3 linked regions of the Caenorhabditis elegans genome follow. The protein of the gene in region 2 purifies or fractionates together with the protein of the main gene of each other region. This does not show direct contact. Each region holds a gene or a part of one and is shown on either strand. Other genes may lie near its edges. The genes, in order: AH9.6, plc-3 and csn-3.

The links.
Region 1: the proteins of plc-3 (region 2) and AH9.6 fractionate together in Caenorhabditis elegans (co-fractionation; one large-scale study listed by BioGRID). This does not show direct contact.
Region 3: the proteins of plc-3 (region 2) and csn-3 fractionate together in Caenorhabditis elegans (co-fractionation; one large-scale study listed by BioGRID). This does not show direct contact.

The regions. Positions count from the first base shown.
Region 1 is NC_003284.9:2,260,838-2,272,047, forward strand, and holds AH9.6 (uncharacterized protein), read right to left. Parts: upstream 7,302-11,210; 5' UTR 7,209-7,301; coding exon 7,089-7,208; intron 5,004-7,088; coding exon 4,900-5,003; intron 4,856-4,899; coding exon 4,803-4,855; intron 4,750-4,802; coding exon 4,610-4,749; intron 3,506-4,609; coding exon 3,434-3,505; intron 3,385-3,433; coding exon 3,321-3,384; intron 3,260-3,320; coding exon 3,194-3,259; intron 3,148-3,193; coding exon 3,042-3,147; intron 2,688-3,041; coding exon 2,537-2,687; 3' UTR 2,329-2,536; downstream 1-2,328. Other genes in the region: putative G-protein coupled receptor AH9.4, read right to left, coding at 10,406-10,557, 10,817-10,988.
Region 2 is NC_003280.10:10,218,130-10,229,891, reverse strand, and holds plc-3 (1-phosphatidylinositol 4,5-bisphosphate phosphodiesterase gamma plc-3), read right to left. Parts: upstream 7,016-11,762; 5' UTR 7,015-7,015; coding exon 6,719-7,014; intron 6,671-6,718; coding exon 6,486-6,670; intron 6,434-6,485; coding exon 6,283-6,433; intron 6,237-6,282; coding exon 5,763-6,236; intron 5,711-5,762; coding exon 5,625-5,710; intron 5,574-5,624; coding exon 5,205-5,573; intron 5,130-5,204; coding exon 4,701-5,129; intron 4,604-4,700; coding exon 3,905-4,603; intron 3,875-3,904; exon of another isoform or gene 3,850-3,874; coding exon of another isoform or gene 3,656-3,849; intron 3,612-3,655; coding exon of another isoform or gene 3,132-3,611; intron 3,087-3,131; coding exon of another isoform or gene 2,762-3,086; intron 2,628-2,761; coding exon 2,487-2,627; intron 2,197-2,486; coding exon 1,558-2,196; intron 1,495-1,557; coding exon 1,202-1,494; intron 1,160-1,201; coding exon 969-1,159; intron 925-968; coding exon 825-924; 3' UTR 452-824; downstream 1-451. Other genes in the region: srh-135 (Serpentine Receptor, class H), read left to right, coding at 2,762-3,086, 3,132-3,611, 3,656-3,849; Regulator of fusion ref-1, read right to left, coding at 10,156-10,497, 10,554-10,716, 10,767-11,222, 11,277-11,419. UniProt on the Caenorhabditis elegans protein: Mediates the production of the second messenger molecules diacylglycerol (DAG) and inositol 1,4,5-trisphosphate (IP3) which plays an important role in the regulation of intracellular signaling cascades.
Region 3 is NC_003282.8:191,568-200,413, reverse strand, and holds the start of csn-3 (COP9 signalosome complex subunit 3), read right to left. Parts: upstream 5,673-8,846; 5' UTR 5,637-5,672; coding exon 5,630-5,636; intron 5,574-5,629; coding exon 5,448-5,573; intron 3,575-5,447; coding exon 3,305-3,574; intron 2,654-3,304; coding exon 2,343-2,653; intron 1,300-2,342; coding exon 1,103-1,299; intron 1-1,102. Other genes in the region: intk-1 (INTaKe), read right to left, coding at 6,350-6,520, 7,098-7,637, 7,683-7,787, 7,837-7,932; pnc-1 (nicotinamidase), read right to left, coding at 8,335-8,529. UniProt on the Caenorhabditis elegans protein: Component of the COP9 signalosome complex (CSN), a complex involved in various cellular and developmental processes.

The sequences.
Region 1 (11,210 bases), on a different chromosome or scaffold from region 2:
ACAAACTCACACGTTTCAGAAAAATTCTGGTTAAAAAATAATTGTGTATTTTTCTCAAAAACCAGCAAACAAACAGTAAATAAACAGGAAAGAAAGTAGTCAAAATTCAATTGTCGGTCCTCCTTTAAAAATAGCAACAAAAAAAATTCCTGGAAAATTATCTGATATCACATTCAATTTTTTTTTGTTATAATTCACTTCACAAAAAACATGTTACAGTTTCAAAACCATTTAGCGAAATGCAAGAAAAAAAGCTGTACTCAAAACGGAACGCACAATGGAAAATGTAACAACGTGAGACGCAGGGTAACACGGTTGCCGTATGCGTGTGCTCCCCACCAAAAATCGATGGTTTGGTCTCATACATGTGTTTCTCCCGCCTTGGGTATAGAGCAGATGTTCATTACTGTTTTTTTGTGTGGCAGATGGAGGAGACTCGGGAAAATAGAGGATTTCATAAATAAAATAAAAATTCAAATTCATCAAAAAAAAATTTAGAAACTCATAGAATTCATTTACTAAACAGAAAATCAAGATCACTTTAGTTTCTTATAATTTTCTTGTTTTCAAGTTAGAAAAGTTAAAAAAAAACCACTTTACAGAAAATTTGAAACGGAGTAGTAGTGCCAAAAGGAGCAAAAATAAATCATAGTAAAAATTTTCAAAAAATTTTCGTATCGTTTTCGTTGAGAGTAAGAAATTGGCAAATCTTCAGTTTTTGGCAGTTTTTTACAAAAATTTAGCAATATCGAATGTTCGAATTCACACAGTGTTAGAATCAGGGGTGGGTGGCAAACGATTTTTCTAGCTAATTGGCAAATTGCCGGAATTGAAATTTCCGACAAGTCGGAAAATTGCCGGAATTGCCGAATACTTTCGGAAAGTTGTGGTCTCGCACATTTTTTTTTAGAAATTTCGGAATTTCAATTTTAAGCGGCAAAATTGTACGCATCCTGTGAATGTTCCTTCATCTATTTTGAGAAGTAAGCAAACATCTTCCGGCAAATCGGCAAACCGGCAATTTGCCCATTTGCCCAGTTTGCCGCTTACCCTGTTCTGAATATTTATTTTTAGAAACATAAATAGACCATAAAAATCAAAAAAAAAATTTTGAGAGATGACTTCCAAAACAATGACAAGCAGTAGTTAACACTTTTTGAAACAAATTGAAAAACTTTTTTGAAGTGTTTTGTTATGATACATAATTATTTTAACATCGATTATTTCCCCACTGACCGTACTTTATCTTTAAAAAACTATGAAAAACTTGAAAACTAAACTGAAAAGCACGTTTTTCAAATATATAGCGGCAGTAGACGTTGAGTTCGTGGCTTTTGTTCAGAATTATGAGGGAATATAAAATATTCACGTGAGAGAAAATATCCTCAATACATCTCTCAATGTTAAAGAAATCCACTAGATATGTGTGGTTTTACCATAAGCTTTTGCATGCTATCTTAACATAAAAATCTTTTCAAACGAAATATTTAAAATATTATTGCATTTCGAAAACTCACTTTCCATTTGTGAAATTGGCATGCGAAAAACAATGAGCGTTATCCGTGCACGTGTATTCAAATGCAGTATTGAAAACATCGGCTGGATACCGCTTACCGTAGTTGCAGCCGGGAAAGTAGTAACATTTTATGCTAATAAATGAGAAAAAACAGTGGAATTGATGAACAATAAACATTGATTCAATATTTTATCATTATCAATTTTATGTAGTGTCTTTTCTTCGAGCATGAAGAGGAAAAGTGGGAAAGATAAGAGTCTAGAGATGTTTTGATTCTTTGCGTAAAAGTAGGAATTATAGAGACTAGGTGAAAAATAAAAACAACATTGTTTGTTTTTGATAAGTGGTGAATAAATGTTTAAAGGTTTAATACTACTCCTATGGTGCTAAAATAACCAAATATCATATCATAGAACAACTTTTCAAAAAAATTAGAAATGTTTTATTTATTAACGAAGTGTAGCAATTACCCAGTTTTTGTCCCTTATGATTTTGGAAATCAACAAAAAAAACTTTCTACGATTTTCATATTTTAATTTTAATTTGGTTTTTTTTCTGTTAAAACATTCCATACGACATTCAAAAATGATGGTAACTTGCCAAAACGTTGACTAAAAATGTGAGTGGTTTATTATGATATTCGGCCGCTTTGGAATCATATAAGTGAATTTTGAGAAAATCCCCAGAAAAATTCCCCAATGGAGCTAGGCCCCTTTATATAGAAGATTAGTCAGCTCAAAATAGGCACCGAATATATTAAGTTTTGTTTATATAAACAAAGACGATTTTATTTTTATTATTCAAACTTTTCAAATTTGGAAAATATTCTTCACTTTATTTTGTTGAAAAAATAAACCTTAAAAAAATAAGAAATACAAGTTAAACAGTCAACTATTATTGATCGTTGACTCTAGCAGTGAAAATTTGAAAAAAAAAATCACCGTAAACCCGAATGAGAGAGATTGAAAACAATTACATAAAAATAAATGTACAAAAGTTTCAGATATGACACTACGAACATTAGAACATGAGATGTGTTTTGCTCTTTCCTGACGCAATCTTAATGGATCCACTTTTTTGCACTCCGATTTTCCTTCTCACCACGTACCACTCGACAAGAAGAGCAGTGATGACAAGTGCCAAGCAGACCAGAAATAGGTTTCGTGCCCACCTGAAATGATTGAAAATATATTTTCCATACCTATACCATACCTATACCATACCTATACCATACCTATACCATACCTATACCATACCTATACCATACCTATACCATACCTATACCATACCTATACCATACCTATACCATACCTATACCATACCTATACCATACCTATACCATACCTATAACATACCTTTGCCATACCTATAACATACCTTTGCCATACCTATAACATACCTTTGCCATACCTATACCACACCGATACCACACCGATACCACACCGATACCATACCTACACTATTCCAAGGCTGTTTTCCCAAACCATATCCCCTTCACAACCAAGAATCAGCTCCAATAACTTACATTGGAACGGAATGATCTCTCTGTTCACCGTTCAGCTCGTAATAATCTTTCAGTGCATATCCCACATCATCCACCAGATCCTCGATAACCTTTGCTAGTGGCCAGCCTTAAACAATACACCGTTTCTGGTTAGCATTCAGTTATGCGCGTACCTTGCACCAACGCATTGTTGACTTCACTTTGTATGTTTGGAAGTAACATTCGAAGACGATGTGAGCCTGGAATAATTGAGTTGATCGAAGTCATAAGTTTTGAGTTTTGCTCGAGTTTGAAATGTACCTGTGTGCAATCTCACGTATGGAATTTTTCTGGCGTCATTCACAACTCCATCGATTACAACAAGCTGGAAAACATATTTGGAAGGAGTGAATGGATAGAATGGCATCACTTACCGCTAGCAAATTTGTCTTGGTGCAAGATTCTCCGACACCAAACCATCGCTCATATACTTTCCACGAATAAACCTGAAATATACAATTTTTGATTTCAGCCAAGTACACACGAATATCACAGCTTCTGCATCTTATTATCATTGAAGCTTTTTTTAAAACCAGTCCGCAATAATTTGCCATACCGTATTTTTTCGATTAGAATAACTGCAATGCTATTTCACCAAAATATTTTTCCTCATAAAATTGATCTGTAAATTTGCCGTTGAAGGAGAACTAAATTGTTGCTATATTTTAAAAGTGTTGCTATATTTTAAAAGTGTTGCTATATTTTAAATAACAAGTTTTTCTAAACAAATCAAATATCAATATGAGACTTATCAAAAGCTTCCCAAAAACTTTTCAAAACGGTTAAAAATGTTTTCAAACAATTGTGCTAATGCTAGCTGAAACCCTAAATTTTGCAAAATTTCCCATGTCACAGCTGTCGGAAATTAATGTTTATTTTATTATAATCCTTAAAATTTACCTAAATTAATATATAAAGACCGAATTATACAGTTAATAAAAATAAAATCTTATGAAATTCAATGTGCAATCTTTATCACATCTAGGTGCCACAAAAAAGTTTGCAAAATTTAAGATTGCATCTAAAATTAGCTGATTTTTTTTTTAAATCTTTAACCGTCAGAAAAAATTATAAATTAAAAAAAAAAGTTTTATAACGAAGTTAGTTCATTTGAGCACATTTTGAATCTATACATTAAGTCTATACATGGGGATTTACTGAGATATCTGAATATTTTTATTTTGTGAACTCCATTCTTCAAAAATAGATTTTATTGGAAACCGTTTAGCACTGCATTCAATTTCGTTTTTGTATCTCACGCAGGAAGTATTTTTCTCAGAAAACGTTTTGCTACATTCTGAGAGTCCCTCAACTCAAGATTCATCATTTCTAGCACGTGTTGAAGATGTGCCCACTTTGCGCACTGCAACCACTTCACCCAAAAAAAGAGCGATACTTGCGTGCAATGTGGAAAACGTGATAGAAAATTGGCTCATAATGATTCAGTTCCCCTTCCTGTCCCCACTTTGCAAGCTCAACTTTGGACTAACCCCCTCCCCCCTCCCGCTAAAAACGTATACTTTTTGAAACCTCCGACCACACCGACCTACCCGTAGGAACTTCCGCACATTTCCGACAATTCCAGTCACCATGTCCCCGTCAATCTGGTCGCATTCGTTATCAAAGAGACAAGCGTACTCGGTTTTTTTCATGACATCATTTGCAGAAGCAGGCTGCTCCAGTTGTTTTGCTGGAAAAAATATAATTTCGTTGGACAAGAGAGAGGCAGGTGTATTTCTCAACTGATTATGACGGCAAGTGTTGAAGTATTGCCGTTTGTGAAGAGTGATCGATACCTGAAAATTGGGTGTTAAGATTGAAAAAAAAGAATTGTTTATACTTATTATAAGCTTTTTCAATTCCATAAACATTTGTGTAAGCCAGTTGGTGATGAAGATCGCACACAAACGGAAGTCGAGGAATTGTGTAGCAAACCGATCGGTGCTGAAATTAGGTAGATTTGAATGAGTTGCAGAAACAGAATATATATTTAATTTTTGAAATCAAAATTAAAAATTCGCGAACTGTTGAATCAAATATAGATTTGTCCTTTGTCATCTGAGAAAATAAATTCCAATTTATTTTCCTATAGTCTTGTAGATACCGTATATTTTCAATTCATGCGGCAACCCTTTTTTTATTGCAATTTTTTTTTGTGAAACCTCATTAGTTTCGACATTTTGGAAACTTTTTCTGAACATGTTTTAATGATTCTTTGTTAATTCACAAAATGAATTTAAAAAATTAAATATTAAATTCAGGCCTAAAATATGAGTTTTTGTGACTGAGAGCTAGTGATCTACAACTGAAAAGAGGTTTTTGAAAATCAGTACTGCAGTCTCTAATAGTGCTGCATTCAAAAAGGACCTTAAAATTAGTGACGGTACTCATTTTAATACCGTGAAAATTAACCGCGGCATAGGCCGATAAAAAAGAGCCCCGTTGCGATTTTAATAGGGAAAATACGGAAAATTGAATAATTTTTCCAAAGGTCACTGTTGTAACTTACTACTGCAAATTTATTTGCTTTGTAACGTTCTTAATATGTAGTAGAAATTTACAATTTCACCCCCGTGACCTTCCTCACATATGCATAACATATTCTGTCGGGTTTTGAGTACGTAGTGACTTTTTTCATGAATATATGCTTGACAAGTGTTTCACATGGCTCGCATCAACTAAAATGGATGTGGTGGTCGTTTCTTTCCTTTTCACAATAAAATATGATGGAAGACGTCAAATAAATACATGTGTATGTATATATCATTTTTTTTGAGTCGCGTGCCTTTTTGTCTGCATAACTTTTTTTTTTGGTCTACAGAGATGAGCTGACAATTTGGAGGAGAATCAAAATTACTCCTATGCTAAAAATACATTTCAGGTTTTTTCTATAAATCTCAAGAAGTTTAGGGAGTTTGCAAAATGTTTTTGACAATTTTGACAATTGTTGATTTCAGATCAAACTCTTCTTTTCACAAAGTTTTTCGGCTCCTCAGTCCTTCAAAAAAAAATTGTGAACTTTTTGCGACACAATAAACGAGGGTCCTTGAGCAACCTGGAAGGAAGCATAAGCAGAAGAAAGGCAGGGAGGGGGGACACAATTTCTTTTTTGTTGTCGCCGAGGAATTTCCTTTTCTTCTATTTGTGGTTTTCAATACAAAAGAGAAAAGGAGTTTGAGTTTTTCGGCTTTCACAAATTGCGTTTACGGGGCGGCGAGACGATGTTGTTCACCTTGTGGTTTCCAAAGGAGACCACAAGAATGACTAATGTCGTTCACGCAGTTCACCGGGTAGGTCTTGACTTTAAAATTTGAGTGTCAAATTTTGAATCACAAGTCAAAAGTTCGAAACTATGGGGTTTCCTCCCTCTAGTGCACAATTAAATCTCTGAAAAAAAAACTCGAAATTCGTCATTCTTCCGGATATCGCCAGAGTAAATCTAAGACTACGGACACAAAAAAAACAACGATTGTCTTTCACTTGATTGGTTTCATAAGGATGAGCAAATGCTCAATATGCAAATAGAAAAAAAAAGCACGACGTCTTCGTCTTTTCCACGCGGCTTTCCTTTCTCATCCTTCTTCCTCGACGAGTTTTGGAGGGCCGTTCAACTTTTCGCAAAGTATATAGAAAAAGGAGAAAGGAGGAGAAGTATAGTGGAAAAAAGTAGGATACGGCGCAGAAAAAATATATATATATATATATAAACAATAAAGCAATACTGAGCAGCAAAAAATAATTGGGTTTCTAATTGCAAGGTTTACGAACGCTTGAGTGATTTGTGGGGCACATGGAACGAAGGCTACCCCTCCTAGGGCAAAACAGAGGGAATGTATAATTTATCTTATTTTTGCATTTTCAGAACGAACAATGCTAATTATTTTTCCTTTTTTCTCATTCTTCCTACCTCAGTTTTTCTAGAAAAGAAATTGGAAATTTGAAGCTAAAGCTTTTTTGGTTCTTAAAAGTTGAGGGGAGATTTTAAAGTTCAGCAAATAAAAAAATAAAACATGAAAAAGTTGAACTCACAAAACTAGGTTCGGTGATCGGAGATGGGAAGTTGCATGGTGAAAATATGGGAGGCACAGGAATCTGACCCCCTTGGGCATAGACCGTCAGAAGGCAGATGACGAGTAGCTTGCGCATCATATTGCCATGAGAGTTAGGACATTGTGTGCTCCACACCAATAATATGCTCTGCCAAAAACGACGACGGCGGCGGCGACCGACTGATTCACCAAAACCCGAGGAGTTGCTCTCTGTGTGCTTCGCCCGACGACGGTCGTGTCCGAAGCGCGCGCAGGCAGCGCCGCCAATGCGCTCCGCCCACTTTGGCGCCGACTGAGGAGGCTAGGAGACATTGGGCAATAGGAAAACGGGGGGAAGCTTATAGTAGTGAACACTGGACTTGAAAACATTTCTCCCAAGGGGTACGCCACACACTAAGAGAATTCACGATTAACGTACGTACAAACATTCTATTTCGATACTTGTTCTTGCTCTTGTCCTTGTTCTCAGTGACAAGTCCAGGTTGCTTAATTGAGTTTTTTTCTTAGAGAAGTGCGTCTTTCCTTTCCTTTTTTCATTTTCTTCATACTTCGCACTTTTTATAGCTAGAGACCAAGTTTTTGGAAGTGATGTATTGGGTAGTAATAAAGTTGAGTACTCATGAATATTAATGGAAAGACGAGTTAATGATTGTAAATATTTCTGACGCGAAAACACAAGATCTTTCAGAAAAGGAGTGATCTATCTTCCAAATACAGGGATTCAGTTTTTTTGGTACCTGTCTCAGAAATTTTTTTCAATTTCCACTCACCTGATAATTTAATCAAAATGGGAAATTGATTTGCATTCTCAGGTTAAGAAAACACTAATACTAAAACTAAAAAATTACGTTGAATTTTAAAAATGATAAACATATTTGGTGCAGGTTTACCTTGAAAGTACCTACATTCATTCAGTATCACAAATAAATTCTCGAGGTATTCCATTCAAAATTTGTAGAAGTCAAGATCCCAAAGTAGTGTTTCAAATATTTACTCAAATTTCACCCCATATACTGAGAATGTTGAATTATTCATTACTGTGTACTCTCTCTCTCTCACGCCTAGAATTTCAGAAATGTTTCTGCAGTTTTTTGGACAAAACCGAATCAAATTTTATCTGGTCCATTTATTTTTTTCCATGCTTCAATTTTATTTTAAAAAGTGAAAACTCACTTGGCAACACACTATACGTCATCTCATCTAAAGCTTCATTTGAGACGGGCGTTGCCTAGTCTTCCCGAGGGAGATCTCAAGAAAATGTGCTCTCTGAAAGATTGCAACTCGCGCTGCTGTTGAATTTCATAACTCACGGGGAGGGCACCTGCAAATAAAGTGCATTTGAAAAAGCACGCTTGTGATTAGGAACCAGATGTAGTTGTGCTCTCTTCCAATTCTCAAGTGTAATTCAATCCAGCACGGAGGTAAAGGTACTCCATGTCATTTTAGAGCACTCTTCGCTTTTATTGGCGTGTCTCTGATGCACTTACTACAAACCACAAAGCACCAACGAAATTCAAGAGGGGACGGAAGTCAGGCTCGTACGCGTCTTCAAAAAAAAAATTCCGCAACGTAGTCTGTTCATCTCTTTTACACATACTCATTTTGACTCGTTCTAACTAAATCCAACGAAACACTTTTAGCTCCAGGTTTTTAGAAGCTTTGCAAGACAAAAAAAACCGGGCCGAAAAATAATTTCCTGTAAAGTCATTGTGCAGTCGGAGACTCCTAAAAGAAGGAAAGCAATTTTCCACAAGAAAACGACAAAGAAGCCACATTCACAATGAACCGAACCATTTATTGCTTTTGTAAGTACCAACTAATGTTAACTCGATATTAACTTTACGATAACACAGCAGTAGTGGAAAACAGGAAATTTGGAGGAAATTTCCGAAGAAAATTTTTTGAAGGGAATAAGCAGAGGTAAACGTTTTTCGTTCAATGACTTTATTATTTCAAACGACGGGAACACATTTTCCATCATCTTCGGAGCAAAGAGGGTTATTAAAATGCACGTTTTGTTACAATAAAATAAATAATTCAAAATGAAACTCGGAAAATGTTTCATTCATTGTGATTTTGAGGATAAATTTTGTAAAGTTATAAAACATTGAATTTTTCCGTTTAATTAAAGGCGGAGTGCGGAAGTATCATGGTACAACTTTTCAGAACAAAAATTGGAGAATTTTTATTTTAAGTCAAAAAATGGCGAAAACGGAGTTTGCGCCACTTCTCGAAATATCTAAAGCACTGGCGCATGTTTGAACCCCAACATTGCTAAAATATAAGAGTTTGGAACATAATTCAAACTGGAAGAAAAATACGTTTTTTTTATTAGCGATTTCCACAGATATATAAACATTTCACCGCTATCTAACTTGAAATAAAAAATGTTGCCAAAAATTTGGAAAAGTTTTATTATGCATGTTTGGCTATTTGAATACCATAGGAATGGTTTTTTAAAATATTTTTCCACTGGACGTACTTCACCTATAACTAAAACTTGTCGTTGCTTTGGTATCACACTATATTTGTGAAAAAATGTAAAAAATGTTTCATGTTTCATTGCAAACCATGTATTTTTTCTGTGAATCTTTGTTTGTAAAATTTCAAAAATTTCAGTTTCTTTATCAAATAAGCAATATTCGAAGAATGCTGTAGATCATAGCGTTGTTTCACAAAAAGGAACCTAAAAGCCGTCATAGTTTGCAATGTATTTTTTCTTTCAGATTATGTTCTCAATAAACTTTTTTTTTTGAATTTTAGTTCTCGAAAATAATCAGTACCAGTGTATTACAAAAGTTTCAATTTACATCAGCAAACTTTCGAACAATTTCCTAGAATTCTGTTTTTGGCATAAAAAGTTTGCCGTGCTTACTATTAGTAAGCAATTTATCAAGCTAGGCGACTCTATTTTATTTCTGAATTGATCTCAATTAATTACTCATCTAAAAATATTCCAACTGCACGATTTGAAGATGGATGAGTATGAATTGAAAACTCTTTATAGTCATGTACACCTTGCATGTTGACGGAAGCTATCAGAAACCAGCAAATAATTTATTTTTATAACACATTATTAATTTGTTTTCAATTATTTTTTTTGCACAATTTTTGTTTGGCTTACACGTTGAAAATGCGGAATTTGAGTGATTTGAGAAAGGAGTTCAGTAGATCAATTGAGATCAAAAATACAACAAAAACAATGAGAAATGCTGAGAGAACATGTAATAGTTTGACAAACAGGTTTGAAGAGAAGCAAGTATCCGTACCTAGTGCTAAATTTTATGAGATGTAAAATTAAGCTTCGTCATCTGAAATACATCTCGAAACATGACGATTGCTGCTTGAAATTACAGTATTCCTTGGAGATCCGTTGGTTTCATAAATTGATGTTGCCAAGTAGAAAGCATTACACGCGAACTGCGAGAAGTACATCATTTGTGCGATTGCTGAAAAAATTTTGAAAATCACTCTGTTATGACAGGGCTTATTTTTAATAACGTCTACACTGCTCCGTTCTTACGAGTACTGATCCCATGATTTAACCCGACCTCCAGAAAAAGAAACGCCGAAAAAAAAGAGATTAAGGGAGAAATGAGTTCCTGGACAGATGGAGGGAAAATTTTGGAAAATTGAGTTTTGAGAAGATGAAAATGTTTCCTTTCTTATGAAACCCACGGCCGGAAGTGTACGAAGCACAAAACTCACGTTCTAATGTTCGCACAATTTCATTTTCCAAGCTGCTCTCGTCGTACGAAGCCCAAGCTCGGAAGATGTGTGAGGGGAGATTCAATAGCAAGTTGAGCACGGAAATTAGTATTGATCTCATTACCATTGCTGTCTTCTTTTTTGGGTTTCCGTGGTGTATTCGTTTGACGCTCTGAAATTTAAAGAATTTTATGCTTTTCCATTAATCTAAATTTCAAAATTTCTTCTGTGAAGTGAATCAAATATATTTTGAACACACTAACGGTTTCGAGTATTATTTTTAATTTTTGCACAAAAATCACTGCGTCAGTACTGACTAATCAGAAAGTGAAAGCATGTAGTTTTTTTTTTTTTGAAAAAAAAAGCTAATTCAAAATTAAGATCAAAATATATT
Region 2 (11,762 bases):
TCTTGTTTTCAATTTCGATTACGATTTCAATTTCAATTTCGTATCTACAATGTTTCGTGTACTTTGATATTTTTGGGCGAGTTTTCGTTATTTCCGGAAAACAAGAAACAAACTATTTTGTTTATATTATTTATATTTTTGTCTTCATTTCGTTTTCATATAATGTTGTTGTTTTTGGAGTGATTCATCGTACTTTTTGAATTGTATAGAGAAGAGGAGAAGGCAAACGAATATGCAACGGAGAAAGACAGAGTCCTCTAATAAAAATTGTGTTGCATTTGAAAATGTTGAGTAGCTCAAAAAAAGAAGCTAACCATTAGGCTGACAATAAATAGGCGGCCCATATCGGCCTGAAATCTTGCAGCATTATCAAAACGATGCATTAGGTCTCAAATAAATCCCAAAGAAATTTTGAATTAATTTAAAAAATAACATTACCAAATTACCAATTACCAAAAAATGCATAATTTTATTAACAATTAATAATAAAAGGTACAAGAAAAATCTCAGCAAAACTAATTAAATTGACTTGGAAGTGTTTGGGAGAATTGTCATAAGTTAAAGCAGAATCCGATGAGGTTTGAACTTGAAATGAAAAAAAGTGTCAAAAAACAAAAAAATTAAACAAGAAGAGGAAGGAATGATGAGGAATGAACACATTTTGGATTTGGAGGAATGCGGAAATAATTGAGAAATATCGAATTTTGAGTTGTAACTAGTAACTTGTATTGATTGAAACTAACCGGGTATATTTAAACTTAAACTATAAAAAATGCTCCAAAATTTTGTGGCAAAAAACAGAACGGAAAGTGCTGAGTTTATATCTATGATTTACTACTTTTTCCAAATGAGAACTTCTTGAGCCAGTTTTGTTTCTTCTTTCCATCCCGAGAGCTTATTGTTCCAGATGCAATGGACGATGTTCTGAAAGTAGATTTTCACACAAAAGTTTAAATTTCAATTCTTACTCGGCAGCGCTGTCCATAGAGTCTTGGCTACCTCGTTGGCCGCTCAGAAGAGTGGCTCTTGACTCGGAATTTGTTGGAGAGTCTAGTGAACGATCGGTGGCTGATGTTCGTAACCGAGGTGCCATCTCACGAGGGATACTATCGCCATTTGTGATCTTACGGTGAGCGAAGACAGGAGCCAGACGACTCGCCTGAAGAAACCTTTAATAAAATTTTTTCAACTGGGCACTAACCTGCAAGAAATGCGACGACGACCTGATCAATTGAGTTCCTTCTCTGGAGCACATTTGTACATCAACTAACAGTGAAGAGAGCTCAAGCTCCTCACTGTACTGATTTTTGAGTGGAACTGATCGGAATCCACATCTAATTGAATCAACAGGGAATACTGCTTGACCAATGAACGGATCTGTTTTTGGTCCCACAAAGTCACCGTCTTCCACGTGGAATCTGATCAGTGCTACTTCGGGACACTGGATCTCAAATGTGAAAGTTTGATTCCAGATCGGATTAAGACCGTTTGATGCTGAAATTTTAATTGAAATTTAGAAACTTATTTTTAAAAAGGAAAAAAAATATTAAAAATTACCTATAGTTTTAGTTTGAAAAACTTTTGTGTCACATGGCATTCCAATAATTTCAATTTCCACAAATGGGGAGCATATTCCTTTATTCTTATCTTTTCTTGACAAATGACGTCCTCCAATCACTTGAACATTCAGTCGAATGGGATAAGCTGTTGCAAACTTTTCCGTGTTCGTAGGATCGAAGTCATCAGTTAACATATAATCTGGTTTCAGTAGGTACCCGCATCTTCCATTTGCCAAAAACTTTCCTTGATTCAACTGCATGGGTTTATCACCGGTTTGATAGTTTAGTGCAACCATATGACATCCTGCATTCCACATTGGAACCGGACTATAATTATTCGATGTGATTCGACTTCCGTTCGGATAGACCCTCGAGAGTTTTCGGGAATTAAACGGAAGAAGCCCCTTTTCAACCAGTTTGTCAAGTTTTCCCTCGACAAATGAGCACATTTCATAGAAAGCGTCATTGTAGATATGGGCTGGGTCGAATGGAACAGCTTGACAGTAGACGACTAGATTTGAGAGCTCAGCGGCAATTCGTTTTTCTTTTTCTTTGGTTCGGAGTATGCTCATTTTTGTGTTAACTGAACGAGTCAGCTCGAAGAGATTGTTTTGCCAACCATCTGCTTCCTCGGAGGCTGGAAAATTATAGTTTAAGTTAAGTTGGGATCCAGGTTGAAAAATATTTGCGTAAAGTGAATCTAATTTGTTTTTTTTTTCTTCTCCGTTTTGAATTTTTTTTAAATAAATTTTTGTAGTAGTTTGTAGATTCAGGTACGCTTTCAATTGTCACAAAATTTCCAAATTTAATTTAAATAATGTTTGAAATTTTTTTAAAGAGTTTCTATTTTCTTTCGGGCCATATCAACACAATTTGTAGCCTGTCGAAATTGTAAACCCCAGAATTTCAGTTCGAAGAACAACTTACAAGAAGCAGCCAACAAATAATATTGCTTGTTCATCCAATGTTGATTTGATTGTGATATTCTGATAACATTCGGACGATCAGCATCATGAATCCGTTCAATTAGTGTTCCAGCTAGCTCGATTGTGTTGTAGTTGCTAGTTTCTGAAAACTTTGATGTTTGATTTCACTTTACTCTGATAGAATAATCAAATTTTTAAAAAATCATTGAAGCATAGAAGGGATGATACTTTATTTTTCTTCTTTTCAGATCTGACTAAAACTCAAATTTCTATCGAATGCAAGCTTCTTGTCCCACTCTATCATTCTTTCATTCTCCCAAGTTTTTACAAATAAGTCTACACATAATATCGGCTGTTGGAATTCCAATTTACATATTCGGAGGGTACTGTATTTTGTGCAAAACCCCGAATCAAATGAATCTTGTCAAATTGGTCATATTTAATTTGCATTTTTGGAGTACTTTAATGGATTTATTTATGGGATTATTTGTTGCTCCATTTATACTTTTACCGTCAATGTCAGGGTTTCCCATGGGATTGCTGGGTTATTTGGATGTGAATATTCCATTTCAAATTTATGTTATGTTGACTGTAATTGTTTGTAAGTTTTGCAGGAAATTTGGAACTTTATATTTTATCATTTCAGTAACCGGTGTAGCAATTCTTCACATTTTCGAGAACCGCTATAACACCATTATTTTCGAGTTTTCTAGTCGAAAAGTCAGACGAGCTCTGTTCTTTATTTTCAACTATTTACTGGCGTTCACTTTTGTCATTCCAACTATTTTACGTATTCCAAATCAGTCGGAAGCTATCAAAATAGTTAAGGAACAATTTCCATGTGAAGTCGATGAAAATCGATTTTTTGTGTTAGCTCTGGATGTCCGTGTAACTCACTATTCAGTTATTATCACTAGTTCATTGATTGAAGGGCAGATTATTTATTTTGTCATTCGACTTTTGATGAATTTAAGTGGAAAAGATGATAGAAAATCAGAAAGGACTAGAAATTTACAAAAGAGACTATTTCGAGCAATTTGTATTCAAGTTACTATTCCTGTTTTACTAATGTTTATTCCATTTCTATTTGTAATTATTCAAGTTTCTCTGGAGTATCATAATCAAGGTAACACTTTTAAAACTATAATCTAGTTACTATATTCATTACAGCTCAAACTAATATTTCTTTATGCTTGCTATCTCTTCATGGTTTGATTTCAACTATTGTGATGCTCATTGTGCATAAACCATATCGTGATGCTACACTAAATATATTGGCAGCTTCTAAACTATTTCAAAAGAATACAAATAATAATAGTGAGCCCACACGAAATTCAGTTCCCTTTTTGATAGTGACTACTTAATTTAAACTTGCTATTTTATGAGATAAACTGTTTACATTAATTTTTTCAAACTAACCTGAAGTTGAAACTTTCTCTGGTAGAATCTCTTGTACATGGGCCGAAGGGAACCATCCAGTCAACGATCCATATCTTCCTCTCCAAAGACCTTCTTCCTTCCGGAGTACTGTGATAATAACATTCGCTGGGAACGAAAGTTCATCATCAGCTGTTCCTCGATACGGTCGAAGTGCTCGAGCTTGAACTTCTTTATCCAAATCCTTCAGATCCATATAGCAACCTGGAGTACGAGCTTCTGCAAGTTCAGCTGTCAGGTGTGATATATCCTTCTCATTGACAGGGAATCGAAGACTAATTCCTCTAACAAATTCTCGATTCGCATAGAATTCAACAATTTGATTCAAATTCTCGAATACTTTTTGATTCACCACGAAAATTCTTCCATCTCTTTTCAATCGATAATGCCAGAATTCGCCGTCGACTTTTAGCGAAAGAACGTAAACTGAAGAGTCAGTCGATGACGTCCGAATTAGGAAAGCACCATCTTCTGGCACCAAGCTCAAAAGTTCTTCGGCTTTTTCCTTGTCAGCAGTAGCAGAGAACCATGGCTGATTAAGATGCGGTTGTGGTTGAGGACATGGAATCGTGAGCACCATTTTGAAATGAGCAGTTGTGAGGTAGTGACGGGTGTAGTAAGAGACCAACTCGTAAAGAGTGTCGCAGACTTTGTTATCCATGAAGTAATATTTTTTCTCTTCTGAAAAATTGAAAAGTTGAAAATTTTATTAAAAGTTTCTCTTCTATTTACTGTAATTCTCGAATACATGTTACATGCAAAACATAGAAAAACTCACTATCAATAATCTTGGATCTTATCCGAACATGATGAACTTTCCCGTCATGTAGAATCGAAAGTGAGAAATCTCCAATGAACAGATTCGAATCTCGAATCATAAACAATCCATTTCCCTTCTCCTTATGCTCTAGAATCCGTTTTTTCGCTTCATCCCGTTCACATCTTCCATGGAACCATTCTTCAGTCACATGCATTTCTTCAGGTTTCACTCCAAATCCAGAAGGCGTCTCTTCTTCCCGTTCTTCATCTCCACTTACACTCACTGTATCGTCATTTGGATTTTCAGGATCAGCGGTTTGAATCAGGTAGCAAAGACGATCAGGGAATAATATGAAAACATGAGATGTCCATTCGTGACTGTTGTTGTTTTTTACCATCAGGATCCCCTTCTTTACACATTCGCGAGATATGATTTCCGTGTCTTGGACTGAAACAAAAATCATTTAGCAAAATGATTTATACCTTTACTACTAGGAAACTAGAGTAATTTCATAAAACTTACACTCATCAGTTTTCACCACAGCTGCCAAATCCTCGCTTTCTATCGGCAACTTCTTATGCTTCACGATAATTTTCTTCTTCAACGCGGCCGGGGAGGGCAATTGTTTTTCTTCACGATTTGCTGGTTGTGTCAATAAATAATCACCAAGAATATCTTTCAGTTCTTGAGCTAGAAGCCGTTGAGCTGGCACCGAGCAGTTGTCCTCAATTGATAGAATTACTGGATATTCACTCGTAACAAATGCATAGTGACGGATGACGTGAAGCACGTCGCGGAGCAAAATTTTTGAGGTCATCGTATACCCGTGATAGATGACAATATCAATGAACTCGGCTGACCCGGGCTTCTTCTGTCCATCCCAGCAATCTACTGAAAAATAAAATTATTTATAAAACAGTGAAAATTGTCTCTAAAACTTACACTCAATGCATCTACAACCCATCAAAAGAGCTTGAGCATAACAATCCAAAGAAGATTCAGATCGAAGTTGGTCACCCGTCAAGTATCTGGAATTAAATTACTGGTTTAGCACTTATATAGACCAAAAAAAAAACAAACGTATTATGCGAGCTGGCAATCCAATAATGAGACAATGGTCTGCTCATATCATGAGTAACTTTCTCATTTGTTGGGTCCCACAGCGAATTCTCCCTTGAAAATAAAAAATCACAAAACTCGAAAACAGTCATTGAAGGCTCATTTCTATCTCCAAAATATGCTTGATCTTCTTGAAAATATCGATTCAAAAACTCCAAAGCTCTCGTTCGATTCGAGGCAAGTTCATCGAATTGTTTGCCATCAAGAAATCGCAAAAAATTTTGAAACGTCACCACAAGACCTTTTCGTTCATGTTTTTCAGCAAGATCAGCGAATCTTGAAGAGAAGAGTTCAGGTACATGGATAAGTTGACGACTGGCAAAACTGAATTGATCAGAATTCATTTGATCTTCTGTCACTTGTTGGAGCTGATCAGATTGAACTTTGAATTGGAGGGAGGTTTGAACAAATGGTTTCATATGCTTTCGAGCAACGCTGGAAAATTGTTATTATTAAAAAATTCTGCAATTTTTGAACTTACGCATCATTAGCCGGTGACATTAAACTCAAAAAGTGTTTATGCAGAAATCGTTCAATTCTCAATGGATGAGGGGATGAGTCTCGATCTCTTGTGTCCATCATCAAATTATGAAGTCCTTGTGACCATAATTTGCACGCATCCTCACTTTCAACTATAACATTTTTCTTTCAAACTATTGAATAATTATTTTAACAAAAACTCACACAAAAGAATCCAATAGGAAAGAGCAAATCCCATTCCATATGAGATGATTAGAATGGCTTTTGAATCAAAATTTACGATTTCTCGATCCTTTTTCCATTTATCATCTACTTTAATTGTGTTCAATTTGTAATTCAATGTCTGTACTTCACGGATTTGTCGAATATCTAGAATTGTCGGTTTATTTCTGAAAAAAATGTAAATGAATTTCATGCGATGTTACTTATCCTCTTACCTAACAGCTGACAGTTCCAATTTTGTCAGAAAAATCTGCCTCGAGTACCGATCCAACGTTAATTGTTTATAGGCTGGATCCCATTTCTTCAACACCGCAATTTTGCACACTTTGTGACCTTTCTCCATTGCCGCAAACATTTTCCCAAAATCCATTTCATTGTGACGGTTCAATTGAGCTCGTGATGCTGTCGAGAAACCATTTGAAGAGCGGTGATGAAGGTGAACGGAGCCCGCTGTGCTGGTTACTGTAGTCTTTCGAGACGACGATGATGGGCCAAGTGAGCCGTGTTGCATGCTGAGAAATTGAAGGATTTATGAAATTGGATGCACATAAAAAAGAAAATTTTAACGGTCTTCCTTGCAAAAGAACGATTGAAAGAATTTCTGATTTAGAAATTAATTTAAAACTTATAAGCAATTACGAAAATGTGGTGTTTCTTCAATTTCTCATAACAAAAGTTATTTTATTCAACTAGTGAAATGCAATTCAGTTGTTAAAATGAATAATCTCTTATCAAAAATTGTTGTATTTTTCCGGTAAAAAAACTATCAATCATACTTTCCCGTTTGAAAAAAAAATCAAAGAATATAAAACAAGAACTTGATCAAAAATCTAATTTTTTAAAATAGTTCGCTTAGAAATTTTTAGAAAATTCACAAGAAGCGGCTGGGAAGGCTTCAAGTAATATTGAAAGATATTACATTTTTTTAAACAAGATGTCTTATTTGCCTGGATATTTGTGAATTTTTCCAATTAATTTATAAATAAGTTTTAAAAATGTAGTTTCTATTAGAGGAATGAATAGGTTTTCAACAAGAAAATTGCGATTGGAGATTATGAAAGTTTTCTGCAAAATTGGCAAAAGAAGTTTCTATAACAATTACTATTTATCTATCAAAATTTTGAAAGCCGGCAAAAATGTGTTTTATGCTTTAATTCTTTGTGCTAAAGATTGGCTCAAATGTGCAAGGATAGTTGAAATATCTCAACTAATCACACTTTTCAAAATTTTGAAAATTTGCCAAAACCGTGACTGAAATTTTTTTTTTCATATTTGGTTTTTAAAAAATCGCGTATATTTTGACAAAAGCACCACAGCCCTTCAAAATTATTTCCTAAAAACTTATTTACCCTCAGTTTAATTCGAGCTCCAATAACCCAATCAACTCCCTATTCCTATATTTTCAGAAAAAAAAGTTTCCGGAAATTCTACAACTGCAAGAAAAAAGAATGACATTTCAAGAAAAAAGGAGCACAATAAAGTAAAAGTGTGAAATATAATACATATGACCTAATGACAGTATGATAACGTCATACTAGCCACGGCGAGGAGCACAATTCGATAACGGTGTGTGGAAAAATAATTCAGACTAAATTGGGAAATTTTCACAATTCCTTTTTGATAAAGAAAAATGCTCCTCGAGTTTTGTGCTTTTGGTGCTTCACACATAGAAAAGAGAATTGAATGAAAAGGGCTGGAAACTGGAAGAGAAAGAGAAAGAGCAAAAGAATATTGTTTCAACAAAATTCGAATCGCTTTGGTTGATTGAAGAGAAATGGACGATGTGAATGTGAAAAAGAAGAAGAGGAGCATTTCCAATATTTTTCAATTAAATCTTTATCGGATTTTCAATTTGTTCATTCCATTGGAATGAAGACGCTTCAATATTTGTATTTATTTACTTTGAAGACATTTATGATCATTTAAAAGTTTTCTATAACTATTCCAAAGTATTTGCTAATGAAAAACGAAAGCTGTGATACATTTTATTGTAACCCGATTTTTTAAAAATTATAGTATCATAGATAAACTTACCCAATTAAATTTACAAAAAAATTTTAGACATATAAGTGAAAAATTGTCAAGATTGATTTTTTAGAAAATTATTTTAAACTCTACATATGTATATGCAACAAAGTCACAGAAAAATTACATCACATATAAATCACAGAAAAAAAAGAAAACTTTTAGAGTCGTGTCAATTGTTTTGCATTTGCGGAAGAAGCCATACATTTATGAAAAAATTTCGGATCTTAACATTAATCCTAAAATAAAGTATTGTTATCAGACTTTCTAAATATAAATTTTTAAAAAACTCGAAACCATTTTCCTTGGAGATGTTAAAATTGACACCTAAAAGGAATGCTTATAAAAAACGACAAAAATATTCTGAATTCAGATGCAAATTTTCATTTTTTCACATACATAAAATGGGGGTGAATGGGTGTATAGAACATAGGTGAAATATGATAGATAAAAGAAAATGAAGAGGTTTTGAGAGACAAACAAAGCGGACCGGTTCGGGTTCGCCAACAACTTCGAGACAATCGCCTCAACAGTCCGAACACACTTTTTCTCTGGGTTTCCGCATTAAAAAAGTTTTACGCACTTTTGATTTGTAAATGTCAACTTACTAAACTAAAGTACAAATATTTATAAGTAAGATGCGAAAAGTTTCGGGAAAAAATTGTGGCAAAAATTGAGTTTCCAGCATCAGTGCATTTTTATACAAAACTTTTCTGGAAAATATTGCATGAGAAAAGATGACAAAGGAAGTTTGTATCGGGGGCACACCAGGCTAAAATGTACTGTTTCTAAATACTGAACGGCCAAATAATCGGCGAGATGACAATTCGCAGGAAACAACAGAGAAACCTCAAAGATCGGCAATTCTTATTTGAACTTTTGAGGAATTCGAAAATATTTGTTTATCACAAAAAAGGTTTACATTTCAAACTCAGCTTTAAATTCAAAATGCATTCACTTTAATGGAGATTTTTAATGCTTCAGGGTGTTTAGGGTTAGATTATCATCCGGAAGCCATTTCGAAAAATGTTATATGTTGAAAAAAATCTGCAAAATGTTCAACATGTTTTTTTCAAAAGGCATCAACTTTACAAAGAAAAAAATAGCTAGGTTACATTCGGAAGTTCAATTTAGAGCGGAAATACTTTCCTTGTGGATTTAAACCCTCTGAATTAGAAGTATCATTGTATTAACCATTTCCCACTAAAACACTAATTAGTCGTCTGTCTGGAACAAGGTGGTGGGAGAATAAAAACTGTCACATCATTCTATCGAGACACGTGGCAATGAGCAACCAATTGCCATGGGAAACAAGGTACCAGAATACAACACTATAATAGAGATAATAAATACTTTATTCTGCAGTCATTTAATCTTCAAAATCACTGAAAATCGGAAAATTCAATATAAATATTATGAATACTGAGGGAAAACAACAATTAAGGATTTATAAAACCTACCGGTAAGCTTAATAGCCCGTGACAATAAAACTAGATTTTGGTTGTGAGATGATAATGATATGATAAGTTGAAAAAGTCGATAACATTTTGAGGTTGATAAATTATTAATAAGAATATATACTTTTAACACTAAATTACAATTAAAGGAGATATATTTTTTAGAAAAGTTATTCCCATGGTCTGAACAGCTTACTCTTTCTTGAAGCTTTAGGATTGGAATTCGAGTTCTCATTTGGAGTGGATGGTGTTTCGATTGATGACGAAGAAGTATCGGATGATGGTGGTGGAGAATCCAGTGAATATGATGGAGACTGTTGAGATTTTGGACTTGTTGCCATTGGTGCCATTGGCATTGGGAAGAATGGGAATGGCCGGAATGGGAAGATTGGGAATGATGGTGGTGGAATTGGGATGGGCATGGATGGGAATCCAAAGAGTGGCTTTGGTGATAAGGAGAATTCGAAGAACTTTTCAAGGTCTGCGCATCGGACAACGAGGTGACGGTCGCTCTGAAAATATATTGATAACATTTAAAAAAATCTTCTCGAAGTTCCTGACAACTCACCTTGAAAAATTGGAAGGCAATGTTTTTTGCAGTCTTCTTTCCCTCTGCAATTGCATGTGCATAGAGTGACTGCTCCTGGTCGCTTCGACTAACAAAATTGTGCTTCTTGTTTTGAATGTAGGCAATTATGATATCCAGGGTGTTCAAGCGTTGCATTTTTTCGCTGAAAAAAGGAAAAGTTTAATTTATGGTATTGGGAAAATTTAAGCTTACACTTGATGAGATGTCATGAGCTTGTTCTCAATGATAAAGTTCTTCAAAGCATCAAAAGCTTCTCCCTGACGATCTCTTCTATCTTGCTCTCTATTCTTTTTCACTTCCTTTCTATCAATTGTGATTCCAGATTCCGATGTCGATGGAGAGCTTGACTGGGATCTATAGCTCATTGAAGAGTGGAGAATTTCCGACTCAGATCTTCTCTTTGATTTTCCAGATACAGTGCTCAGCAAAGATGAACGTTCTCGATCGAAAAACTGCTTGGCACGTTGCACAAAATCCTGACAGACATCTGAATTGACGCCCAGGGATTTGATGAAGGAATAAGTGAGCGACTCGATTGATCGGAATCCGTCAAAGAATCCTTTGCGATTTGGATTTGATGATGGTCCAGGTGATTCGGTTTCCATGCGACTGACCACTTCGACTGCACGGTTTAAGACATCACCTTGGCTGAAAATTAGTAAGATTTGAATGAAGATAACACTAAACGAATAGAAAACTCACGTCATTTTCTCATTATCCGATTCATTTTGAATCAATAGTTGAAGCTCCTTGATCTTTGCATTAATCTCATCTCGTCGTTTCTTCTCCTGTGATGTTTTTCTGTTATGAGCGTAAGCTGGTGGTGGGGTACTGATGAGGACCATTTCTGGAAAAAAAATTAAGTTTTTATTGATTTTTATAGCTCGATTTGTAAATGAACAAAATCAAGAAGGGAGAAATGTTGCGGAATTTGAGAAATATAGAGAAAGAGAAGGAGATATAGAGAAAAGTCATAAACCATTCGGAAGAGGGAGCGTGGCGATTTACAGTACCCCTCACTTCTACAGCACGCCTTCTTTTTCTAGATTAGAATCTTATTCGTAGAAATTTAATTGCCTTAAACCCTAAAAACCCACTTTTTGTGTCGTTTCGCCAAAAAAAATTATATCCCAATGGTTCCCATCACTATCAACCACAAAAGACGTGCCGAGTTATCAGTGTGGGAAT
Region 3 (8,846 bases), on a different chromosome or scaffold from region 2:
GAAATAAACAGGACAAATGCAAAATGTTTGTTAAAAAGTAATTGAAAATGCGTAAAACTGTGATATTCTGAGTTCCGACGACGAAGCTCCTGAGATTAGTATATTTCACAGTTTTACGCATTTCCAATTACTTTTTAACAAACATTTTGCATTTGTCCTGTTTATTTCTTCCATTTTCCGAGAAAAAACCATAGAAAATGAAGAAAATCAGTCAAATAACGAGAAAACATAAAACAAATTAATAAAAATAATGCAAGTGCGCTCCAACGAACGAGTTCAATTGGCGGAAATTCAAATTGGAATTAGGGGAAAACTGTGATTTTTCCAATTTTCAAAAAATCATATAAAATCTAGAAAATTTTTTTGAATTTTTTACAATCATATTCGGTCATTATGACATCATAGGCACGTTTTAAAGCAATTTCCCCATTGAGCGTAGTCCACCTTTAAAAACTAGTTTTTTCAACAAATCTTTAATTTTTAAAAATTTTGGGATGAAAAATTGTTCACTTTTTCTGAAAATTGATCGAAAATCCATAGTTTTTCGAGATTTTTCCGCACAAAACCAAATATTTTCATGATTTCTTCAGTTTTAAACGAAAAAAAAAACGCTCCGAAAACGATTTTCACGGAAAAAAACTTGAAATTTGAAAAAAAAAAAACGAGTTTTAGACCAAAAATCACATTTTCTGAGCATTTTTCCTCTGAAAATTGCCGTTTTTCAGCCAATTTTCACTCAAAATTCTGGATTTTTAGCCAAAAATTCAGTTTTTCGTGTTTTTTTTTCAATAGAAAAAAAAAATAAATTTGAAAAAAAAACGAGTTTTAGATTAAAAATGCTATTTTCTGAGCATTTTTTCCTCTGAAAATGACCGTTTTTCAGCCAATTTTCACTCAAAATCCCGGATTTTTAGCCAAAAATTCAGTTTTGTCGTGAAATTTCATGGTTAAGAGTTTTCAAAATTCACTACAAACTTGCATGAAAATTTTGGTTTTAGAAACTGGGAATTTTTGAAGTTTTTCTTAGTTTTTCTGGCTTGTAAAAAGAAAAATCCTGAGATATTTCCTCTTTTTCTCGCAAAAATTCTTGCATAAAAAGTACTTTTTGAACGAATCCAAATGTTGATCCTGAACCGAGAACGCTGGCATTCCGACACAAATTTCGAGCAGGAAAAGAGCATCTTCGAAACGTTTAAGCTCAATGAGAATACATGCTCCATTGTAGAGATAATCAAGTACATATTTTGGATGAAGATGAGGATTATGTGCCACTGGCTGTGAACCGAATGCGGCGCCTTTCTGAAATAATTTTAAAAGATCCAGAAAAACAATTTGAACTGAAAAACCCAAAAAATTCCATATAAAATTTGTTCTTTAAACGAATTTAGTTTTTTGATGTTCATTTTTTATTCATATTTTTCGGTTTTTTTTATTTATAAACTTCAGAAAACTTTTAGTAATTTCAAATTTTATTTTTAAAAATTCAAGAAAACATTTTGATGTGGATTTACAAACCAGACTAAAATTTAATATAAATTTTTTTTTAAACAAATTTTTATATATTTTTTAAATTTTCATTTCATATTTTTCAGGTTTTTTTTGCAATATTTCAAAACTCAAAGAGCTCGAAAATTTAGTAATTTCAGATTTTATTTTAAAAAAAAGTTTTTTGCAACAGAAAACATTGAAAATGTCCCATTTTTGCGTTTTTTTGTCACTTATTTCCGAATTTTTCGGAAAAAAATATTCAAAATATAGTTTTCTTCAGATTTTACTGAAAACCCAATGCAAATGTTCAGAAAATCGCGTTTTTTTAACTTATAAAAATATTTTTGTAATTTTCGTTAACTTTTCAGCTTTTTAAATGTTTTTAAAACCAAGCAATTTTAAAAAAATTTAGTGTTTTGGAAGCTTTTTTGAAAAAAGTTTTTTGGAACAGAAAAAAATTGAAAATATCCTATTTTTGCGTTTTTTCGCACTTTTTTTCCGAATTTTTCGGAAAAAATTGGTTTTCGTAAGCTTTCACTGAGAATCCAGTGTAAATATTCAAAACAATCGTTTAAATATAATTATACATGTATAATTTTCGTTAACTTTTCAGTTTTTAAAAAAATGTTTTTAATCCAAAAAGAATTGAAAAATATTGTTTTTGGGGGCAATTATCAGTTTCTAGACATTTTTTTTCCAAATTTGCGTGTAAAAAACCTCAAAAAATGATGTATTTTCATATAACGTTTCTAACTTTTTTTCCTACAAAAAATACCCATTTTTAAAGGTTTTTTCACACGAAAATTTGAAAATATCCAAATTTCCAGATATTTCTTTTTTCTTCCATAATGCACCTTCATTCTTCCAAGAAAAACATCTCCAAAATCTCGTTCTCTATTATCACTCTTTTCCTGATCTTGAATACAATTCTCATTTGCAATCTCATCAACATGTAGATCAATAAATGGTTCAACAGATGCATAATCCTTTGTTTCAAGAGCACACGCAAAGAGCACACCGTGTGCAGAAGTGAGCACATTTGGAGCATTTGAGCCATTTCTTGGGAACATTGATCCGAGTGCTTTCATGATAATTCTTTGTCCTATTTCTGGTTTATTCTTCTTTTCCAAACAATATAAGCCGACGTCGCGGAGCAGTGGGAAAACTGAAAAAAAAATTTTTTTTAGAGGGAAATTGGAAAAAATTACATTTTAAAAGTTAAAAAAAAATCAAATTTTCAGTTAAATTTTCAATTTTTGCCTAGTTTTTCTTTAAATTCGAGCTTATTTGCCAATATTTTTCAATTTTTCTTGAAAGATTTTTCAATTGCTCCATTCAAAAAGTGAAAAAAAAATCTATGGAAAAGTGACTTTTTACAAGAAAATCGTTAAAATTTGTCATTTTTTCACTAAAGAATGCATTTTCAGACAACTTTTTTCTGTGGAAAAATTCGGATTTTCGAATTTTTTTGAGGACGAAAAATTAGGAAGTTCTTAGTTTTTTAATTTTCAGTCTGAAATTTATAGATTTTTGAGGGAAATTGAGAAAAAAAAAATAAAATTTAGGAAGAATTATAGGAAGAAGGAGAAATTTTCAGTTAAGTTTTCTATTTTTGCCTAGCTTTTCTCTAAATTCAAGTTTTTATTTTTATTTTCCTTTGAAATCCGACGTCTTTGACTTTCTGCTTTAAAAAAAAACGGAAAATTCGGCGAAGTGAAGCTGCATTTTTCTCTTTAAATCTAGATTTTTCGCATAAATTCCATGTAAATCATCCATATTTTCCAGTTTTTCTTCTCAATTTTATCTAGAAACTCACTAATTTCAGGTACAAGCTTCAAATGTCCTCCAACAAAATTATTCTCATCAACATAATGATTGAGAAGCTCAACAGCTCGATCTGTTCCAGTTTCATTATTTTTTGCAGCCGACGTATCAAACATTCCTTTAATTGCAGCAACCATTGCAGCTGAACCAACATTTGGACTACAATGAAGCAAAAATGCTTCAACATCGTTCGATTTCTTTTCGAAAAGCTCTTTATTCTTACGAACAATTCCAGCGGCCAGTTCACCAACATTCTCTGAAACTAAATACGGGAAATTAATGCGGAATTCTGGAAAAAATAGGCTTGACGGTATCCTTAAATTGAATTTTTTTTTAAATAAAACAAATTTTTTAATAAATTTATTTTAAAGCGGGATTACAGTTTGTGGGTATTCTGCTTAAATAGACTACAACTGGTCCAAAACCACCGAATTTAATAATGAAACAAAAAATTTTCAACAATTTTGTATGGATTTTTGGTTGAGGCTTAGGATTTTTGGGTGAGGATCAGGATATTTCGTTGAGGCTACCATGATTTTTGGTTGAGGCTAAGGATTTTTGATTGAGGCTCAGGATTTTTGGTTGAGGCTACCAGGATTTTTGGTTGAGGCTAAGGATTTTTGATTGAGGCTCAGGATTTTTGGTTGAGGCTACCATGATTTTTGATTGAGGCTCAGGATTTTTGATTGAGGCTCAGGATTTTTGGTTGAGGCTACCAGGATTTTTGGTTGAGGCTAAGGATTTTTGATTGAGGCTCAGGATTTTTGGTTGAGGCTACCATGATTTTTGGTTGAGGCTCAGGATTTTTGATTGAGGCTCAGGATTTTTGGTTGAGGCTCTCAGGATTTTTGGTTGAGGCTCAGGATATTTCGTTGAGGCTACCATGATTTTTGGTTGAGACTCTCAGGATTTTTGGTTGAGACTCAGGATTTTTGGTTGAGGCTACCATGATTTTTGGTTGAGGCTAAGAATTTTTGGTTGAGGCTCAGGATTTTTGGTTGAGGCTACCAGGATTTTTGGTTGAGGCTCTCAGGATTTTTGGTTGAGGCTCAGGATATTTCGTTGAGGCTACCATGATTTTTGGTTGAGGCTAAGGATTTTTGATTGAGGCTCAGGATTTTTGGTTGAGGCTACCATGATTTTTGATTGAGGCTCAGGATTTTTGATTGAGGCTCAGGATTTTTGGTTGAGGCTACCATGATTTTTGGTTGAGGCTAAGAATTTTTGGTTGAGGCTCAGGATTTTTGGTTGAGGCTCAGGATATTTCGTTGAGGCTACCATGATTTTTGGTTGAGGCTAAGGATTTTTGGTTGAGGCTAAGGATTTTTGATTGAGGCTCAGGATTTTTGGTTGAGGCTACCATGATTTTTGGTTGAGGCTCAGGATTTTTGATTGAGGTTCAGGATTTTTGGTTGAGGTTCAGGATTTTTGGTTGAGGCTACCATGATTTTTTGGTTGAGGCTCAGGATTTTTGGTTGAGGCTAAGGATTTTTGGTTGAGGCTTTCTGGATTTTTGGGTGAGGCTCTCCGGAATTTTGGTTGAGGCTACCATGATTTTTGGTTGAGGCTACCATGATTTTTTGGTTGAGGTCAAAATTAAAAAAGGCATATTAGTGCAAAAATCAGAAATTTTGCCCAGTTTTCTTTGTCGCAGAGACTGTAATTCAACTTTTCTGAAATTATCACTTTTAATTCACATTTTGGTAATTTATCTTGTGTAAATTCATTGATTGAGACAATTTTTAAGCGAAGAGACATCCAAAAATGATAAAAATTGGATGCCTCACGGTTTAAAATTGTCTCAATCAATGAATTTACACAAGATAAACTAATAAAACTTAGATTAAAGAGTGATAATTTCAGAAAAGTAAAATTCCAGTGGCTGCGACAAAGAAAACTGGGGACAAAGAAAAAATTTCAGATGTCAGCAAAATTTGGCTCTTTTTTTTCGGAATTCGATCCCTTTTCAGATGATATTCATCAATTTTTCACGAACTTCTACGAGAATTTCGATGGGTTTTTGAATGAAATCATTCAAATTTCCCGAAAATTTCAGCGAATAAATACATTTTCAAGTTGAAAAATTGAGAAAATCACTAATTTTCTTCTTTTTCCAACAAAACCCTCCAAATTACCATGTTTTTCACTGCAAAGCTCATTGATCGCAGCACACAATGACTCCATACTACCAAGATCCATTCCAGAAGAAGCTGCTGCAGACGATGATGATGAGGCTCCCGTGAAGAGCTTATTGAAAAAAGCTGAAAAAGCTTTTCCGATTTTTTTAGAAAATTTACAGGTTAAATAATAAACTTACTTGTCATGATCCTTTTGTGAATGGGATTTTCCTGTGATATCTGAAAATATTTACATTTTATCGTGAAAATGTGTGACAAGAAACGAGTAAGAGAAGATATACGAAAAAATAAGAGAAAATTGCACAGGGAATGGCGATTGGTGAGAAAATTTAGAGAAGAAACCGAGAAAAATATAGAAATTGAGTAAAAATCGAGCTTGTACAGGAAAATACCGAGAAATTAGTGAAAAATGGGTAAAATTTGGGGAAAAGAGAAAACTTTGCTAGAAAATAGAGGGAATCACGAAAATTTTAGGGTATTTCAGTTCAAATATCACCGAAAAAGCACCGTGTCAGGCATAAAACGCTGTTTTTTTGAAAATTACTTATAGAAAATACGCTAAACAACACGCGACGCGTAACATCGGAGCATCGTTGTCACGCTTTTCTTCGAGAAAAATAGCGTTTTATTCGTTGGCACGGTGCCAATTTCGGAAATTTTAGATCCAAAATCCCAGCTGATCTTGAATCCGTGGTGCCTCAAAACAGGTGAAATTCACAATATTTTCCTGCTCGGAAAAATTTCGAAAAAAAAATCGACAATACGGGGATTTTTCGAGAAAAACTGTGAGAAATGCCCTAAAAAAATGCAAATATTAGCTGGAAACGAAGAAATTTGGGTCAAAATTATAGAATTTTCAAATTAGAAAATGCGTGAAAAATTCAGGAAACATGATCGATTCAAGACGAAAAATACTCCTCGTCGTTATCGATTTTTTCAGTGCGTTGATTTTGAGAAGCGTCGTAAAATGGTACGGTATCGAGTGCAGAATGCATGTCAATCATATGAGTATTCATCGATTCGAATAATCGTTCGATTTCTCGTTCTTCTTCTGAATCATCCGAATCCGACTGAAAATATGGGGAATTTTAGTATATTCTAGTATTTTTGGATTTTTAGTTGAGGCTCTCTGGATTTTTGGTTGAGGCTTTCTGGATTTTTGGGTGAGGCTCTCCGGAATTTTGATTGAGGCCCAGGATTTTTGGTTGAGGCTCTCATGATTTTTGGGTGAGGCTAAGGATTTATGGGTGAGGCTCTCAGAATTTTGATGATTTTAATGAAAATTTGAGTTTTTTAAAGGTAAAAAGCTATTGGAATATTGCATTCAGCGAGTTTTTTTTATTTTTTGCAGCGCTAAATATCACAAAACAGATATTTTGTGATTCCTGGGACCGTTTTTTGGGACTTTCTGCTTTTTTTCAGATTAAAAAACTGGCGTCTGTCGCATTTTTTGTTAGTTTTTTGAGAGATCTTCGGAGTCGTTTAGCTAGAAAATAGACTGAAAATCGGATTTAAAAAAAAAGGAAAATCCTGCCAAAAACACATTTTCTAGATCACATTGAGCTTTTTACATTCCAAAAATCCCGATTTCTTCGTAAAATTGCACAAATTAATCCCTTTTTTATGGAAATCCGAATTTTTCCTTACAAATTCAAAATTCTCCTTGACACTCCTCGCTTGTTTTCTCTTTTTCCTCCTAGCCGACTCAATTTCATAAACTTGTAAATGAATATTCGACACATCTTCATGCGCTTCTTTCACTTTTCCCAACGCAGAAATCTGTGGAGCATCTAGCCATCGGAGCTCACCATTTCGAAAATCTTCCAGTAGTTTCAGCATTCCTTTCTCCTCGAATATCATACTACTGGGCTCCAGAGGCGATGGAGGCTCCCGAACAAGAGTCTCTGTCATTGTATTTGGATCCCATTCGTACATATCTGCGTCTCCTTCGTGTCCGAGCACTTTCTCGTCCAGAGTTCTCGATTCAAACCATTTTTCCTCGGATTCCGGGCTTATAAGCTTCTCGGGACGCTCCACGTGCTCTTCTTCCTCCTCTTCAACTATTTTCTTCTCCTCACGGTCTCCGCGCGTGAATCGATGGAAGAAATTAGTTATGGAGTTTGTAGTATCCTTTCGTTTGCGACCAATGTCCTCTGCCACTTTACTAGGCCGCAATTTCTTTTTGTCCTGAAATTTATTTATTGAAAATTAATTTTATAAAAACGTTTTTGCCTTGCTAGTAACTGTCAGATCATCGATGGACTCCGAGAGATCTTCGGAAAGCACAAAAGACGTCGATAGTGTCGTCGAAAATCCCAATTGATTGTTGAGAGAACTCTGAAAACAATTCAAAATTTTTTTTTAATTAATCGATTTTTCTGCCCACCTGCTCTTCATCCACAACTTCCACTTTGACGGGCGGCTCCGTGCCGTTAAACCGAATATCACCAGATTTCGGTGATAAACTCACGTCTCTAGACATGTTTTCGGGGGAAAACTAATTTTTTTACGAAATAGATTAAAAATTAGCAATTTCGAGTTTTATACTGGTTTTCAGTGGTAAATATTAGGAAATATGAGTAAAATGTGATTTCTAACAAGTATTAAATGGAAAAATCGTTAAATTATCGGGGAAAAAACAGGAAATTTCAGGAATAAGAAATGCGCTGAAATTTTGTTTACAAAATTGGTTCCTTCGAGAGGAGTACACGGCGCGTGGCCGAGAAATCGTGCTGGCGGCCGCGTTATTTCGGAGCGTCGTTTGATGCGAAATTACTTTTTTCTGAACTTTTCAACGAAAATTTCGACAATTAAGAAAAAAAAACGTTTATTTAAATATTTTTAAAAGAATTACAAAATTATGCACAATATTTTATTATTACTTCTACTTCTTCACGATCCTTTGAACCCATTCTCTCGGCAGAAAACCGCCTTCCGTGATTCCACGTGCCTCGTCTTTTGAGATCATCGCAACGCCTTGCTTTTTGAAAGCCATCTCAGACTCCTCGATTCCCTTCTTCGTTAGTCCAGCGCTGCATTCCGGGATCACGGCGGCAAGGAAGTTCTGCTTCACAGCGTCCTGAAAATTTAAAGTTTTGAGGTGTTTTTAAAGGTGGTGTAGTCGAATTTTTTTATTACCTTATTAGACTCAAAATTGTCTGAAAACACCGAATTTCATAATGAAACTTTTTAGAAAAAAGTTATGACGGCTCAAAAAATGGCTTAAAATTAGTTAAAATCGGAAATTTGACCAACTTATCAATGTCGCAGCGGCTGGACACAATTTTTTTTTGAAATCACCGTCAAATTTTGAGTATACAAGTTGATTTCCTGCGTTTTAAACTTGATTAAGGTATTTAAAAATCGATGGACGGCGAGATTTTTAATTTTTTTGAG